Linked DNA regions of Arabidopsis thaliana. The protein of the gene in region 1 interacts with the protein of each later gene in a pairwise test. Each region holds a gene or a part of one and is shown on either strand. Other genes may lie near its edges.

Region 1 (8,807 bases):
ACAGATGTTTAAATGAATAGAAACTCAAATTTTATTTATCTAAAATATCTTACAGACGGAGTGCTATGAAAGCATTATTTACATTATTTGTTGGTATATTCACACACATTTTTTTTTACATTATTGTGTAGTAGAGTAACATTCCCTATCTAAATATTATTACATTGAGTTTCTCCTGTGTCCTTATCTCTTTTTAACTATTATCCTCTCTGAGCATGTCTACATTTCTATAATAAGAAGATAGCTTGAATCAGCCAACAAGGAAAATTCTAGTACGATAATCTGAAAGATAAAGATAAATAAACATTACTTCACCTTATTTAAGAGGATTGTCAAAACTCAGAATCAAAATGAGTTTGATAAGAATATTAAGTTGTCATCACCACCTTGTGTTCTGTATTAGGAGAGAAAGTCACAAAAGAGAAACCAATAAGCTGACTTTTCATGGATTTCAAGTTTTTAAAACATGAAAAAACACTTATCTCTAATAATTACAAATAGATTTTGGAACTTACATTCGATTTATCTGGGAAAAAATATTTTAGAAAATCTGCAGGCCACCAAGGAACTCTGATAGCCTGAAATCAGTAACACATTATTATTATCAGAGGATAAGGCTAATGACAATGAATGATGACTGAAGTTGATCATATTGGGTAAAGACCTGATACTGTCTGTTATTACAGTTTCTCCTTCTTGAGAACCAAGATGCCGTAAAACAACCTCTTCCAAGTGACCATCAGAATATGCATGCTATATAGCAACACCAAAAATGAGTAAGACTAAAAATCATTCGTCTGCTGCTTTGCCTGACAATAAAGAATAGAGGAAAATACATACCTTATAGAAACAACTTGCTCCAAATGGGCAGTTTCCATTTCCAAAGTTGAAGTGCTTACAGTCGATTGATCTGCAAGATTGGAATGGAACACAAATTGTATCTACTAAGCAAAATCAAATTTGAAGCCAGCTCAAAATCAAGTTTTTATTGCAGTTAGTAACTATACCTGAGTTTAGCCTTGTATATGTCGATAATTTCCTTCTTCTCCTCAGGAGAAGAGTACCAGACCACACTAGGGACAACAAAATAAGAGAGTTTGCGACATATAGGACAAGCTCTCAACGTACTGTTGACATCCATTCCCGAAACAGGAGCACTGCTACGCCAATTACGAATACATTGTATACAAAACGGATGATCACACTCAGTCAACAGCCCAAACTTCCTTTCCCCTGGAGTAGCCTTTGACAAGATACGATCCAAACACACACTACACTCAATATCTTGACTTTGTTTCAAAGCCTCAATGTGCTTCTGCTTCTTCTCACATTCTTTCGTATGCTCTTCTCGTTCCTCGGGTCTAAAAGGATGCAAACACTTCTTGCCACAAGTATTGCAGAGGTCACCATGCATATGTGGACACTGGTTACCTCGAGGGCAATCACCAGCTGCAGCAAAAGAGCAGATCGGGTACTCTCTAGGGTGGATACAGTAAACGTTAGAGGATTTGTCACCGTCATTATTATCGCCTTGTTGTTGCAAATGCCTAGAGGGGGTGGTGGATATAGAGCGATCTAAAGACTCAGAATCTGAGCTAAGAGGAAGATTGGAAGCAGCTCTGACATGATCGTATCTACATCTACTTCCGTACAAACATATTCGTTTCTGATAGAATGTGCAAACCTAATTTATACAACCAAGAGTCAAATATTTGGGACTGATGAATCAAAAGAAGGAAACTTGAGAAGAGATTAGATTACATTATTGGGCGGATCCTTAGAGTCATGGGAAAATTCGCAATTTTCGCCTTTCAAGCACGAGCCATGGACAAAGAACTTGCACAGTATCCTACAAAAAAGAAATCAAATGAATCATCGTCCCCAGAAACGAAAGAATCAATCTTTATCACCAATCAAAGAGACACAAAATTGAAGAGTTTGATGAATCGAGAAGTTGGGGGATTACGATACCTATCGGACATTTGGGGATTTGTGCGGAGAGAAGAAAAAAAAGGGTGGAAGAATGGAGAAGGAAGAGAGAGCTTTATGTGAAGAAATTGAATTTGTACGGTTTTCAATTGTTGAGGACCAAGCAGACCCCAACGTTTTTGAGATAGAGCGCGCTTCCTCCACCTCCACCACCACCTCTCTCTTTCATTTACTAAAATATCCTTTCTCTTTTCTTTTTGGCCAATTTTGTTTTATGGGGTGTGATTGGTTATGTTTATGGAAATTCGATCAGTTTTATGTGATACATAAGAAAATTCTTTGAAGCCTTCTTGGTGGAATGGAATCAAACAAGTTTTAAAACACACTTGTTACACAAAAACCACAAATCATCATACGATTCAAGTGTTACACGAGACTACTACATAATAATACAACAACACACGATACAAGACCGTCTCTCTCTCTCTCACTTTCGTCTTTTATGTACATAATATTACAAACAACAAATCAAGCATACATTCTCTCTCACACATACAAATCCTCCAAATTCACAAACTCTGTGGCACTCAAACCTACCAGACAAGTTTAAATGCTGTATCTTTCTTAATCATGTCTCACACAAACTCCACCTTCACGAGAAGCTTAACGGATTTGTACTTCTCTCCTTTCCGGCTATGTAAAGGAAATGCTCTTATTCCTTCGCTTAGCTCCCAAACCGGTAAGCATGTCTGTCCTCCAAAATCATCTTTCTCTGACATGTCATACTCATGCACTTCTAATCGTAGCAGGGCCAGCTCTGGAACGGTTAATGGGAACTCAAACACCTCATCCCAAGCTGGTATCCAATTATCCTCCAGTGTTTTCGTCTTCTTCATTACTGTATCCCCTGGAACTCCAGCTATCCCAACCTGAATATGCATCAAAAGCTCAAATTGTTATATTGCAAGCATAAGAGACAAGAAACAGTTCTATCTCAAAACATTTGTGTGAGGTTTAAGGCAGGGAATCAAAAATTGACCCTTGTATAGAAGTCAGGCGGTGAATATTGGTCAAAGTGTGTGTGGCGGAAATCAAAGTACCAGCCTTCTCCCATGTATACAGTTACCTAAGGGAAAGAATAAGTTCACTGAGTTTGATCGGATTTGAATTGGTAAAAGAAAGACCAACCAGAGAATCAGATATCTCACCCTAAGTGTTGTTTTCACAGGTAGAGTAGCTTTTGGGTCAAATATGTCACTATCCGAACCACTTTTCAGCAGAAGGTCAGGTTTCTTGATGTAGCCACATCCGCCATTGGCTCTAAACATTCCCTGCATTAGCCACAATGATCTTCCATACCCCTGTACATGGAAAAAGATCACAATCAAATCAGCTGAGGAATAAGGTTGATGTCCTGTAAAATGATGGAACATAGCTCCTCCAAAATAACTAGAAGTTTTACTACTACGTAGAAAGAAGTTGGTAATATAGCAGAAGGAGATACCTGCATATTGAAAGCCACCATTTGAGCACCGTGGCTCCAGCCAACCAACGGGTTGTAATTTGATGATGTGACTCTAGTTCCTTTTGGGTATATCCTCAGCAAATTGTGCTGAGTAAACCTGCGCCACACCATGATTAACAGGATTCATATTGAGTTGACAAACTGCAACTATTACTTAGAAACATAAAAACATAATATGACTATACCTCACAATCTGCTTCGCATATTTTTCTGCTGCCTTTTCAAGTTGTTCTTCGCTTAAGCTAAGGCGTCTAACCTTGTCAGGATCTACCTTTAAACACTCAGTAATTCCGCCTTTTGGTTTCCCAGCATGGATTGCAATCAAATGTTTATACTGGGGTGGTGCATTAATCTTAGACTTGTCTTCATCATCATCATCGTCATCATCATCATTTCCATCTAAGTCATCCTGCAACAAGAAAGAAAACTAACATGTTTGTCCATGAACAGCAACAGAACAGAATGAAAATGATTTGTCTTCGTACACACCTTAGCTTCACTTTTGTTCCTCTGAATAAAGCTCGGAACTTCTCTTCCCCAAACTTCTTCATCCCCCAAGTCTTTACCTTTCTGCACCACTTCCACATCTTTTCCTTCCTTGTACTCTTTTGGGGGTTTGGTTGAGATGATAATACGTCTTTTTAAAGAGTTTGGCGATGGGAACTCCTTCAAAGATTCTCCCACAGGAGGAGTAAACAGAATTTCCCCAAATATCTCAGTAACCATCTATCATACAACAAGAAAACACATCTCAAAACCAATGTACTCATCTATTAAAGCAGCAAAGAAAGAAATGCAAAATAAAAAGCTACCTCAGCAACTTTAGACTGAAGATCTGGAGTAAGATGATCTTCAAGAGTTACAACAACAGGATAGTCAGATACATCAAAGGCATGTGCTCTGATAGCTTTGAGACATTTGATCAACCCCACAGGTGTAGTGAGAGTCCTGTTTAAGAATGGTTCAGTAAACAAGTTAAACGCCAAGCACCTAACCTTGACTTGTTTTTCGAAATAAATTTGAAGCAAAATTATACATTCCGTGAAGAACATCAATATCGTCTTTGTTGGAATTGGGCCATATATCCAATTCAATGACTCTAACACCTTTCTTCAACGCATCAATAATAGGTACCTCACTACAGTCACTGCTCAGCTGATTACCAGTCAGATAAGAATTATGACCAGTGAATATGAAATAATGCGATATAGGAGCATCCATGTCATGATGCACCTGAAACACCACAAATTCATTAGAGATAAGTCTATAATCAATCTGAAAATAAAAGCTAGCACAATTGAGTCACAATTACATGTATAGCCGGAATTGTAAAAATATTAATTACTTGTATCATGGATTTTTGTGTCAGAGTTCCTAATAGAGTAAATGTCACATTCCTAGATATGTTACTTTCTCAACTTTTTTTTTTTTTTTGAGACATAAAAAGAAAAACAATTCTATTGCTTCAAATTCTTGAATCAGACTTATTCCACAACACCTAAAAAGTACATAGCTCCTACGACTTTCTACCAAACAGCAGCTTCGAAGTTCGAACTCTTGATTAGACTCAGTGAAACATTCAAACAAATTATTCCAAAAATCTCACTTCCTCACACCATTTCCTCAATTACCAAACAAGGAAAACGAAAAATCCCAATCCAAAATCTGAGTTTCTTATATCAATCAATCATAGTTTACTTCAGATTCTGAACTCATAAAATCGAAATAACACGAAAATTACCTTATGGAGAGCAAGAGGAGGGTTATTATCACCAAAGAGGTACTTGAAGAAAGCATCAAGATGGAGACCATTACGATGAAGAAGAGAAGATGCAGAATTGATAATTGACTGTGCATCTTCTCTGGTGGCTTTATCTTGTTTCTGAACATCGATCAGAAACCTGTGGAGATGATCAACGGTCATAACTCCATTCTCTGAGTACTTTTCGAAAATGGTCTTGATCTCACGCGGTGCCTCCGATGCAGTGTAACGAAACCTCCGGCGAAAGCAGAAACACACTTTGTACGTTTGCTTCGACATGAAGTAAAGAAAAAGACGGATCTTTGGGTAATGATTGGAGACGATGATGAAGGAATGAAGTAGGGTTTGTGTGTTATATAATCAGAACTATCTTCTCATTGTTTTTGAAATCAGACAAGCGAGATCAGAATCGTCGTTTTGCGTGTCGCATCTGCAAAGACAAAGAGATTTTTTTCCTTTCTTTCTAGTGAATCTCCTCCATGTAATGTTTAATCGATCTTGAACCTTGTCGGAAAAAGATCTTCTTTCTCTCTCTGTGCGAATATCCCCTCTGGCAAATTCTTATCCATTTGGGTTTTATTGGGCTTTTGAAATAATAAAGCCCATTAAGTTAGTTACTAGGGTTTTGTTGTTGTTTAAAGGAGGAATAAGAGCGTAAGCTACAAAATCTTTCTATTCATCTCCGCCGCTCCTCATCCTGTAAAGCTAAACAAATAATCAGAGGAACGAAGGAGACAGCTTCTGCGAAATCAGCATGAGAGCCAAGGTTAGTAATGGGTTTTGATTGTTTAATGGATTTTTTAGTGATGAGAAATTGAAGTAGTGTGTAGGATCTTTATGGTTTGTGTGTTTGTGTGTTGCAGTGGAAGAAGAAGCGTATGAGGAGATTGAAGAGGAAGAGACGAAAGATGAGACAGCGATCTAAGTAGATTCGGGAGTTTGTTTTGTCTTTCTTCTTTTTAGAACCAACTCTTATGTGAGTTTTGTTGGTTTTGCAATTTTCAATTTGAATGTTTTGTTGGACCAAATCGAATCTATGTTTTCTATTAGAATTATGTTTATTACATGGAATGATCCTTATGAGTTACTGATTCTCCTTAAAGTTCTTCAATCTGCTTATCATTTTGGTTTAATTGATTATCTATAGTTAGTGTCTGCGCTGGATGAGTTTTATCCTGGTGAAGGTTGAACTTTTGATATTAGAAATACCAAGTGAATTTGTATGTCATCTAAGTATACTAATAAAAACAAAGTATGTTGGGTTGATTGAATCTTTCTATCCAGAACGTTTTCTTAGTAATGTAGCAGAAATGTGTGTTTACGGAGGGATGCAATTTTTAGTTCATGATGTTCAGATGACTATTGGTACTTAGGTTTTTATGTGTACATGTGAAATAAACCTACCCTAAGATTTCATTATTATTTCATGAAAATGAGATTCACGTTGCATCTATGTCTTTCTGATGCTGATGAATGATGATGATTGTTCTGAGGTCAACCAAATTCTCATGAAGGATTTATTTAGTCCTTCTCGATATTAATTGTTTCATATATGAATAACAACAAGGTGAAACTGATCAACGGTTTAATAAATCGAAAGTCGAATGGAATGAAATGCTGAAGGAAAGTACAACTACAAAACTCATATGAGTAAGAGAGTTGAGTATATATACTCAAAAATGGCTTTTGACAAAAAGTTAAAAAAAAATTACTCACCTAAACCCAACAGAATATTACAACGAAAGGAGGTTATTATCCACATTATTCCCAGACAAATTCTGGTCAGACATATAAGCTAGCTAGCAGATGAACACCGCCCTAGCAAATTGGGCCGACTCTATGCGCTACTGATACTTTTCCAAATGCGGATATTAAAGCATAAGCTGGTCTGCTTTAGTAGCCGCCCATCGGTGGCATTCCATATGGTGGCATGGGAGGCATTCCTGGCATACCGCCCATTTGTGGTGGAGGACCATACCCACCACCACCTCCCATTCCTGGCATCGGTGGTGCAGGTAAAGCAAGTGGCAACATTTGGGCATACATGTTCTGTTTAAAAACAAAAGAAAAACATATTACTCCTTTAAGTGTATCTGTCAAGATAAAGAGTCGGATGATATCCAGTGTAGCTGTGTCATAAGTAGTACCTGTTGGGATATGACATCCTTCTCTTCCTGCTCTTTGGCCTTCACCTCTTTTTGTGCCTCAAGCTTGTCCTTTATTAGCTCATCCACTTTGCCAGAGTACTCTCGGATAAACTGCAAAGAAAAAACGACAGGAAGAAGAGAATTCATCATAGCGTTCAAATAATGGTTCCAACCTCATTGAGCAGAGAATCAAAAGAGTTTATTTGAGGGTTAGGATAGATCACCTGGAGGAGATACGGGAAGGCAAAGTCCATCATATTGTTGATCCAGGCAAGTTCTAGAGCCACGTCTGGTCGGATTAAGTCATAACATACAAAGAGACATGTAGCAAAGCATTCCTTTTTGCCCTGTATAACAGCAGAAGACACGGGATACTACGTTCAACGTCTGGACCAATTCTTTTCAACTAACCAAACTGAATGGCTAGCACTAGCATCTCGTAAATGTTTAACCATCATCATACCTGTTCAATGAAATACACCAGTAGTTGTTCTGCAAGTTCATGTTCGCCTGATTGTGAAGCCGTTTCCATACAGTCCTTGTACATGTTGTCTTTCTTTGATAATGCAATTGATTGCTTCCATCTGCCCGCTTTCTTGTAGATATAAGCAGCCACACGTCTCATTTCAACAAGTTCGTGTTTCTCGATCTGTTCGCACCATTCACAGGAAGATTATATCATCTCTAAGGCCATTCTTTTTCCATTTTTAAAGAGAGAAAATATTAAAGGGGTAGTATATTTGAACTTTACCTTCTGAGCGAGGCCAATCTGGTCAAAGCTGTCATGTAAATCAATAGACTCTCGCAACCTATCGTAGTCTTCTTCTTCCACGTATATCTCATTCAGAGCCTCATTAACAGCAGAGACATTGTTGCTCTGAACTGCAATCATGTATGGCTTGATAAGACGCAAGTGACCAGCCTGAGATCAGAAGAAACCAATTGTTAAGTAATGTAGCTCAGTTGTTTTTATAGAAAAAAACAAAGTCATCAGTCAGCTTCTAACCTTCCGCATTATATCAACAACACGAGTATGGTCTAACCGCAACGCAAGTACGTTGAGAAGATCGTTGATTATATCCGGATGCTCTTGCAAGTAGAAGTGCACAGCCTTGTAGTACAGTTCAACATTCGCTACCTTGGCAACAATGTCTTTGAATTGCATGTGCTCCCATGCTTCAGGAGAATGGTTCATGACGGTGGTCGCAGCATTATCAAACTCATCATATTGAATGTACAGATAGGTAAGTTCCTGCCAGTGCTGTTGTTCATCACAGGCCCGTATAAGCTTGGGAATATTGAGGCGAGTTGAAAATAACTTGATGTGTTCCATAAGTTTCTCATAACGATATCTAGCATAGAGTACACCCAACTCGGTGAAGATACCCATGTGAGCACGTTCAAGCCCAAGTCCACTCTCCATAAGTGAGATTAATTCATTGAA
Region 2 (8,268 bases), on another chromosome or scaffold:
GGCTTGAGGAACTTGTCACTGAAGTGGTTGTGATTTCTAAGTTGCAACATCGAAATCTGGTGAAATTATTTGGTTGCTGCATTGCAGGGGAAGAAAGGATGTTAGTCTATGAGTTCATGCCCAAGAAAAGCTTAGACTTTTATATATTTGGTAACTTATCACTCTTTTTTGTTTTCAAACTCTGGTGCAGTGTTATCATCAGGTCAATTAACAGAAGCTAATTTGTTGTTCAGATCCAAGGGAAGCAAAACTTCTTGACTGGAACACGCGGTTTGAAATAATCAATGGAATATGTAGAGGTCTCCTGTACCTTCACAGAGATTCTAGGCTGAGAATCATTCACAGAGATCTGAAAGCAAGCAACATCTTGCTAGATGAGAATCTGATTCCGAAAATATCTGATTTTGGGTTGGCCAGGATATTCCCGGGGAATGAAGATGAAGCAAACACCAGAAGGGTCGTTGGAACATAGTATGTAACTCCATTCAACCATATGTTTACATCTTTTTTTTCCATTAAGAGTCCTAAAACCGAGAAAATAAATGTATCGTGCAGTGGCTATATGGCACCTGAATATGCAATGGGAGGACTGTTTTCAGAGAAATCTGATGTTTTCAGCTTAGGAGTGATACTCTTAGAGATTATCAGTGGAAGAAGAAACTCACATTCAACTCTTTTGGCTCATGTGAGTCTACTTTAACTCGTAAAGTTTCTTAACTCTCTTGAGATTGTCATCAAGCCATCAAAGCTTCTATGTTTCATAGGTGTGGTCAATCTGGAACGAAGGGGAGATTAATGGTATGGTAGATCCTGAGATTTTTGACCAACTTTTTGAGAAAGAAATACGAAAATGCGTTCACATTGCGCTTTTGTGTGTGCAAGACGCTGCTAATGATAGGCCAAGTGTTTCTACAGTGTGTATGATGCTTAGCAGTGAGGTTGCAGACATTCCAGAACCGAAACAGCCTGCTTTTATGCCTAGAAACGTTGGTTTAGAAGCTGAGTTCTCTGAGAGCATTGCTCTTAAAGCCTCTATCAACAATGTCACCATCACTGATGTCTCAGGACGTTAAAACCTGCAGAAATACAAATGTATGTGTAATTCGTGAAACTCTTAAGCATTGCCAGAGAATAACATATCATGTATCCATATAGATATGGTTATTTCTTATCCAACTAGTAATGTACAAGAAATTATTTTCATATGACAAATTTCCCACTGTACGAAATCAAATATAGCAAACAAGAATCATCATTTCTTAAAAGAAAAATCTCTTAAGCTTTTGCTAGTCCTTATAGGAGGAAGTTCCACAGATGCAAGAACAGGTTCTGAGCTTTCATGCGCAAGAGAATGATGTGTGGAAGTTTCAGCTTCTTGGTGTTGAGACTCAGGATCCCAAAATTGGTGTTCATGATGACCATGACCAGAGTATCTAGGAGAAGGAGAACTTGGGTAATTTTCAACGCTCCGGTTATTGAAATTGTGAAGGAGATGGATTGGAGATGAGCCATGTGTTGGTGTGGTTGGACGGCTAGAGAAAGGTGTGTTGGATCCCGAGTGTCTTCCGTGTTTCGTCTCGTTCTTTGCAGTGTGATGCCACTTCTTTAATGCCGTGGCTACTCTATCGTTGAATACTGTTGGCTTCATTTTACTACCCATCTGCACACAATTTTCATTCAACACAATGTAAAAAAAACTAAAGATCATATAACCAAAATCTGGCATCCATGTAACACTAATGTTTTCTAGTACCTGAGTAACAAGTGCATAGAGTGGAAGAGTCACATAGCTGCAAAGTATCTGCACAACAGCTCTGCAAGATTTATAAAAAGGGGGATTATACTTTTTCAGTTAAAGGACAAATTCTCAGAAGAATCAATAGTCAAGATAATGTTAGCTTACCCAACTACAAGTCTAATGACCACATCTGCAGTGCTTTCATGGAAACAATTATTGAGATTGAATTCATACTGCAAATACAGAAAATTTATGACATAACAATTAGTATAGCCCGTAACAGCGATGTTTTCAAAGAAAATGAAATGGCTCGCTTACCGTACTCCAGGCAAAGAATGCAAGTTGAAATGCATTCTGCAAAGATAAGAAAATTTATTCTACCGTTAGGAGAAAAAACCCGAAAAAGATCGAAAAAACGAGCGGTGAAGGATACAAGTATTGTACCGTAAAAAGGACCAAGTGAATAAGGAAAAGAATGAAGCGTGGCTTGCCAAACCAGAAGAGGTCATCACCAGGCTGAACCACTGGGGCGCCTCTCACCACATCACCTTTCTCTTGGATTCTTAGACCCAATTTTGTTATTATGACTTCAAGCTTTGTTCCAACTATTAGAATTACCTGCAGTTATATATTTTCACTCTGTTACAAAACTGGCGGCAAAAAGACAAAATCGGTTCAAGAGTTTGTTTGTACTTACGACTAGTGGAATGAATGGTAACCAGAGGTAAGAACGTAATCCTGTTTCAAAAGAAAACCGATGTCACTTTTGTGCGACTATTGATGCAGCTAAAATGTAGTTTTTGCGAGTAAGCAATGAACGTTACCATATGAATTGGTCAAGAGGAATAGCACAGCGACAAACCAGATAACCGGACTGCATAAAGTTGGCAGAGATTTAAGATAAAATATCCAAATTGGCTTTGCTCAGACTTTATAAAGCAATCATTATTAGATCCAAACCTGATTTCAACAACGGTTTTGAAGTCTTTCTCTAATGATCTCTGAATATACTTGCGGAAATCGAATCTTGATTCGTTACCGGGAGCAAAATGCGCCTGAAATATGTAGAATGTTAGATCATTGTCTTTGAGAGATACATGTTATAATGAACAATAGATAAAAAGAATAAATTCCATACCATGATGAAACCATGTCTTAGTGCTAAGTAATCAACTTTGGTGACAGATCCAAAGAACTGTCTAAAAAAACAAACAATCCATAGTGTGACTCTCGTCTTGCTCCAGAAATTGAGATGTCTTCTCCCAAAAGATGTGTCCCTCGCAAACCTGAACCTCTCAGGATCTGCATAACAAGACTAATTCATTCCCATTCAGGTCTTTAAGTTTCGTCGAATACTCACATATTTACATACCGTTGGAATACTGATACTCTATTGTCTTTGTCTCTTCCTCCCACGACTTCCACGTCCTCATCTGCAATACTCAAGAAAACAAGTATAAAAATCTTTTGCATACACTCTTTTTCTCGCCTTAACAACTGCGTAAGTCACAAGAAATGTTAGTTACCTTGATCTTTCCGAAAGCATAAGTAACAATGCAGTAAACAACATGAACAACCGCGAGCACGAAGATGAATATATGCAGCTGGTGGATTCCATAAGCAGATACAAAAGCCACTTTCCCCTGAGTAAATCCATCAATAGAAATCAAAATTCCATCGGTTTAACAAGCAGAGAATGATTTTTATATAGAGAGAGAAGGGAGATTATTAGTTACCTTCTCTGCACATTTGTCATAGCCTTTGGTGGCTAAACTTCTTCTATGGATATAAGATTCAGCTAACTCAAGAAGAAGTCTTCGACCGGGTTTATCTCCATCTCCATCATCTTTCTTTCCGGCGTCTTTCTTGCCGTATTTTTTAGCTTCTTCAGCAGCACTGCAAGGGTGCATTGTTGACGCAACTTTCTGGGAGATGCAGATATTTGAGATTGGTGTTTGTCCAATTGTGAGTAGTAGTGATATGAATCCCAACAGCATAAGCTCTGAATGAAGTTACGTAGAAAACAAAATCAGGAGCTTGTTAATGGATGAAGTTAAGTAGAAAAAGATAAGAAGCTTGTTGATAATGGATCAAGTTAAGTAGAAAAAGATAGTTACCTGCTTTGACCTTTTCAAGAGCTTCAAAAAGAGCCTGCTTGTGCTTCTTTTTAAACCACTGTTTAAGGCACAAAAAAAGGAATGATCAGATATTTTCGTTATTCTCACAGATTTAGTAGTGTTGATAGTGATAGGAGAAGAACTAAACAAATCCAAAAAAACAGAGCAGTAATTAAAGAAACAGAGCAGAAAGCAGAGCAAGAAACAGGGGAATCTTGAAATAAGGAGAAATATAAAGAGACTTACGGTTCCAATTTTGTGAATAGAATGTTCGAGGACAATCGAAATAAAGAGTAAGACAAAGCAAACAACAGCAACTGCCCACGTAGAGGTCTCCTCTAAAGTCCGCTCTTTTACTTGATCTGCCATTAGAGCTTAATCCTAAGAAAAAACCCCAAATAAGATTCTTCTAATTCCAGACCAGAGATCTTGTCTTTTTATATATAAATATAGAAACACACGAAGAGAAAGAGAGACACAGTCAGAGTTTCGTGTTCTTCTTTTGATCTAACTTCTCTCTATATTGAATTAGTACGCTACGCAATTTTGAATCTGGTCATAATATAGAGCAGACGAAAGAGGGAAGAAGAAGAAGAAGATAAGACCCGCAACGAGAGACTGTAAACTAAAGAAGGCGTTATTCGAGAAAGCTTCAACGTTTTGACTTTTCTTGTTGTTCCTCTCATGTGACGAGTGACGACGACTCCTCAATTATCAGCATAACCATTATTCTTTTTGGTCTACTTTATTTTGCTTTTTATTGGGTCAATCATCGGTGTTTTGTTTCTATTTTAAATCTATAACATTTTGGTTTCAGCTCGTTAGATTTTCAGAATAAAATAAAGCAAATTTTGAATTTTTTGATTCATTAGTCGTTTATTTTTGTTGGTATAATACTCCCATTTTGTGTACTTTGGAAGCCACTAGAGATTGTATAAGTATAAATAAGAATAACATTACTATAATGGGATCTTTCGTTGGAAAGTTCGTCATTTTGTTTTGTCTATTCCCAACTTGTTTGTTATATCTAAATAATATGCTCGTAGATACCAAGATTCAAGATATAACCATGCTCCTTTTTTTAATTTAAATTTTTACCAAAATGTAAATTTTCTATATATAAAAAAAGATATATTAATTGCTACTTGAAATTTATACAAGAAATTTCACCCATAATTGCTACTTGAAATTTGAAAATGATATTTTCCACCACCACCAATGACTGATTAAAAAATAAACTGATTTCTAACACACCTTACCACCCAAAACCTAATAAAAACTTTAAACTGTACCTCTATTTCTAACACACCCAATTAAAAGTGACTGATAAGTTGTCAAAACATTATTTTGAAAGATACATTGATGATGTGATTGTTTTTTTCTACAAAAATTTCAGTTTCGAAGTTTACCCATTAACGTGTTTTTTTTTTTTTGTTTTTTTTTTCTTGTTAATATCCTATATTTTATTAAATTTTCTTACTATCAACTGTACAAAAGTTTTATCATCCATTATACTATCTATAATGGAATTGTAATTTTATTACACTTAGATGTAACTAGAATTGTAAATATATTATTGTAGCAAACATTTGACTATTAAATTAATTACGTAACCTGGTTTTTATTTTGCCTTTTAATGAAATTATAAAAATTGTATAGTTTGAAAAATATGATACTATGACTATTTCTTATATCTTAAAATATTATTGTCAGATAAAAGAGTTTGGGATTTTTTGATAAGTTGTACTCTACAAAATATTCGAAAACAGCCTGTACAGTTGAACAGAGGCATGCAGCAATGATTAATAATTAATAGTTAGATAATTAGAATGTTAAGTGGAAAATTGTTGTATTTAGCTGACTTTCCAGTTTCCAATAGCCATCGCCCATCGAATGTTTATTTAATCAACATTCTTTAAAATAATGAGAGTGTTTTGCTTACTTGGCACGTGATTAAAGACTACTGACAGAAAAAAACAAGATTAAACATCTAACAGAAATAACATCTTTAAACTATGATTGCAAGTAGATATATATATATATATATATATATATATATATCAGAATAGTTGAAGAAATTACTGAAGAATCAATCAATATACACAAACAAAATTATAGTTTTTCTCCTTCGACAATATACGTTTAGAATTTAAACTAAACGAGATCCATATATACATTTTTTTTAATTTATATTTACTTTGATTGCATATGAGATTGATTGTACATGTACATATATGTTTATGATTATTAGTTAAAACTGATCGTGCATGTACATATATAAACTATGGAGAGTGGATTATAAGATTGTAAAAACTCAAATCTTTCTCTATAATATTTAACACGTGTTCATATTTATGACTGACACAATTGGACACAACTTAAGTTCAAAGAGTCAACAAATAACAATGCATGCTGAGGCATACATATATGTAAAAAAAAAAAAAATCGCAAAAAAAACAGATATGTAAATTATACATTATTGTTAATTGACAAACCAAGTTGCAAACTGCAACTAATCACATAGAGTTTAAAAATGTGATAATTAACGGAACGCTTAAGATGGACATGTAATTATATATTAATGAACTGAATCAAACAAAAACTAAAAACATTTATTGCTTATGTGGTTGATGAGATATTTGTTTTAAGCAACATGATCAAATGAGAATGTGAAGACGTGTTAGTCACATATGAATATGATTTATAAAAGAATCTAAGACGACATAAATGACTAGATGGTGGAAATAATGTGAGGCATCTTAATTTCCTTTTCATGCATCTTAATTTCCATATAATCCATAAAAAATGTATCTTATATGGTATTTTTCTCAATGAACGTTTTGTCCAATGGGCTAGAGACAAATATATCCTCCACTCTTTATAACGGAACGGGCTAACAATAAAAAAACGAAAGGAAAATTTGACGTCATCTTTTCTATTGTCACAAGAAAGACATCATATTTTCTATCGTTTTGTAGCATGTTACGTTTCAGATTGTTTTAGACTTTGTTTCTTAACTTGTCCTAATAGTTTACTCTAATTGTGTGAGTCTTTTACGAGTTTTACACGTACTTATAATATTTTTTAGTCAAGATTTCTATATTATATTTTCAAAGTTATGACCTAAAACTATCATTTTCGCTATATTAAATAAAGAAAATCACATTTCAGCTAACTACCTAAAGGACCTTATGAGGTTTATTCTTTCTTTTTTTAAGAAGACCCGATCAATATAATCAACTTTCTCACGACGACTTTCCAAAATATCATTGAAGTCAACCTTCACTGAAGCAACTAACCATATGCATCGTCCAGTTCAAGATTCTGCAATGCGATTCAATCGTTACCACAACTTAAGATCGAAACCGGACATTAGAACCCCTTTGTTACTTCGTCGTACATTCGTCAACTATATCCTTACCTTTGGTATCCTTCGCCTTTGATACAATGATACCAAAAGAAAAGAAGAAATAATCAGAAATAATCAATTGTTCTGGTTTTAGGTTGACCAAACTCTTTAACCGAAATAATCAGAAATTCGAAAATAACCGAAACGAACCGACGTAAGAAACCGGATCGTCCAATTCCAGATTTTGAAACCAAAATCCAAACACATAAACCCTAAAACATTTTCGCATCTTCTCTATTCAAATCCTCTTATCATCGATAGAAATGATCATCACTGGGTTCGAAATTTTCTAGAATCTTCAAGCTTTCCTTACCAGTTTCTGATTAAAAGATGGACCCAATTGCTTCGGTGTTGGAGAAAGTGAAGAGCTTTACGAAATCGAGCCAGGATTTAGTCTCCCGCCATTTCGGCTTCCATGAGAATCCTTCTCGCCTGAATCCGGTATCGTTATCCATCCCCTTTACTCATTTTGTTCTTAAAATCAACTTTTTGTTTGAAATGTGATGTTGAATTTGAGTTTCTGCATTGTTGGTTTTGGGAATTATGTTGCAGATTGATATCTTGAAGCGATTACAAAGAGAAACATTCTCGGATTTGATGAAACTTAGAGAAAGACAAGAGAAAGTAGAGCGGATCATTTCCTCGCAGAAATTATCGAAAGGAGGTCCCTTTCAAGAGACTAGCACTCATGTGAGAGGTGAAGTTGATGTGCTTGGAGCTATATTGCTGATGGGAAACACTGACGAGGAAAGTTTCAATGGACTCAACAAAGAAGGAGTGAGACCGGGATTGCTTTCAAGGTTTGTGTTTGAAACGAGTCTTAGGGAGACAGATAGGCTTGTGGCTGAGCTTGTTGCTGGATACAATGGGGCAGGAAGTCACAGGGATTTTTTAGGAGGAGAGTTGTCTTTAGCCAAAGTCTTCTACAAGGCAGATATTAATGATTGGTTCTCTGCTATTGCTATTCCTGTTGGCGCGCATTTCAGAGACATTGAGGCTTCTAC

The links.
Region 2: the proteins of PLC2 (region 1) and MLO2 interact in a protein complementation assay, tested with the Arabidopsis thaliana proteins (one large-scale study listed by BioGRID).

What each region holds. Positions count from the first base shown.
Region 1 is NC_003074.8:2,580,062-2,588,868, forward strand, and holds PLC2 (phospholipase C 2), read right to left. Parts: upstream 5,838-8,807; 5' UTR 5,496-5,837; coding exon 5,196-5,495; intron 4,688-5,195; coding exon 4,491-4,687; intron 4,403-4,490; coding exon 4,267-4,402; intron 4,181-4,266; coding exon 3,944-4,180; intron 3,864-3,943; coding exon 3,640-3,863; intron 3,552-3,639; coding exon 3,434-3,551; intron 3,291-3,433; coding exon 3,138-3,290; intron 3,056-3,137; coding exon 2,969-3,055; intron 2,859-2,968; coding exon 2,565-2,858; 3' UTR 2,301-2,564; downstream 1-2,300. Other genes in the region: AT3G08505 (zinc finger (CCCH-type/C3HC4-type RING finger) family protein), read right to left, coding at 542-578, 665-753, 841-910, 1,008-1,684, 1,762-1,849, 1,972-1,982; AT3G08520 (Ribosomal protein L41 family), read left to right, coding at 5,971-5,982, 6,080-6,145; AT3G08530 (Clathrin, heavy chain), read right to left, coding at 7,110-7,265, 7,364-7,474, 7,588-7,710, 7,827-8,012, 8,115-8,285, 8,370-8,807. UniProt on the Arabidopsis thaliana protein: The production of the second messenger molecules diacylglycerol (DAG) and inositol 1,4,5-trisphosphate (IP3) is mediated by activated phosphatidylinositol-specific phospholipase C enzymes.
Region 2 is NC_003070.9:3,799,647-3,807,914, forward strand, and holds MLO2 (Seven transmembrane MLO family protein), read right to left. Parts: upstream 4,588-8,268; 5' UTR 4,225-4,587; coding exon 4,102-4,224; intron 4,050-4,101; exon of another isoform or gene 3,914-4,049; coding exon 3,856-3,913; intron 3,741-3,855; coding exon 3,475-3,740; intron 3,382-3,474; coding exon 3,265-3,381; intron 3,172-3,264; coding exon 3,111-3,171; intron 3,041-3,110; coding exon 2,877-3,040; intron 2,794-2,876; coding exon 2,699-2,793; intron 2,613-2,698; coding exon 2,563-2,612; intron 2,477-2,562; coding exon 2,436-2,476; intron 2,357-2,435; coding exon 2,183-2,356; intron 2,093-2,182; coding exon 2,057-2,092; intron 1,972-2,056; coding exon 1,904-1,971; coding exon of another isoform or gene 1,900-1,903; exon of another isoform or gene 1,815-1,899; coding exon 1,754-1,814; intron 1,661-1,753; coding exon 1,253-1,660; 3' UTR 1,074-1,252; downstream 1-1,073. Other genes in the region: AT1G11303 (G-type lectin S-receptor-like Serine/Threonine-kinase), read left to right, coding at 1-150, 234-471, 556-685, 765-1,073; AT1G11320 (GDSL esterase/lipase), read left to right, coding at 7,595-7,705, 7,817-8,268.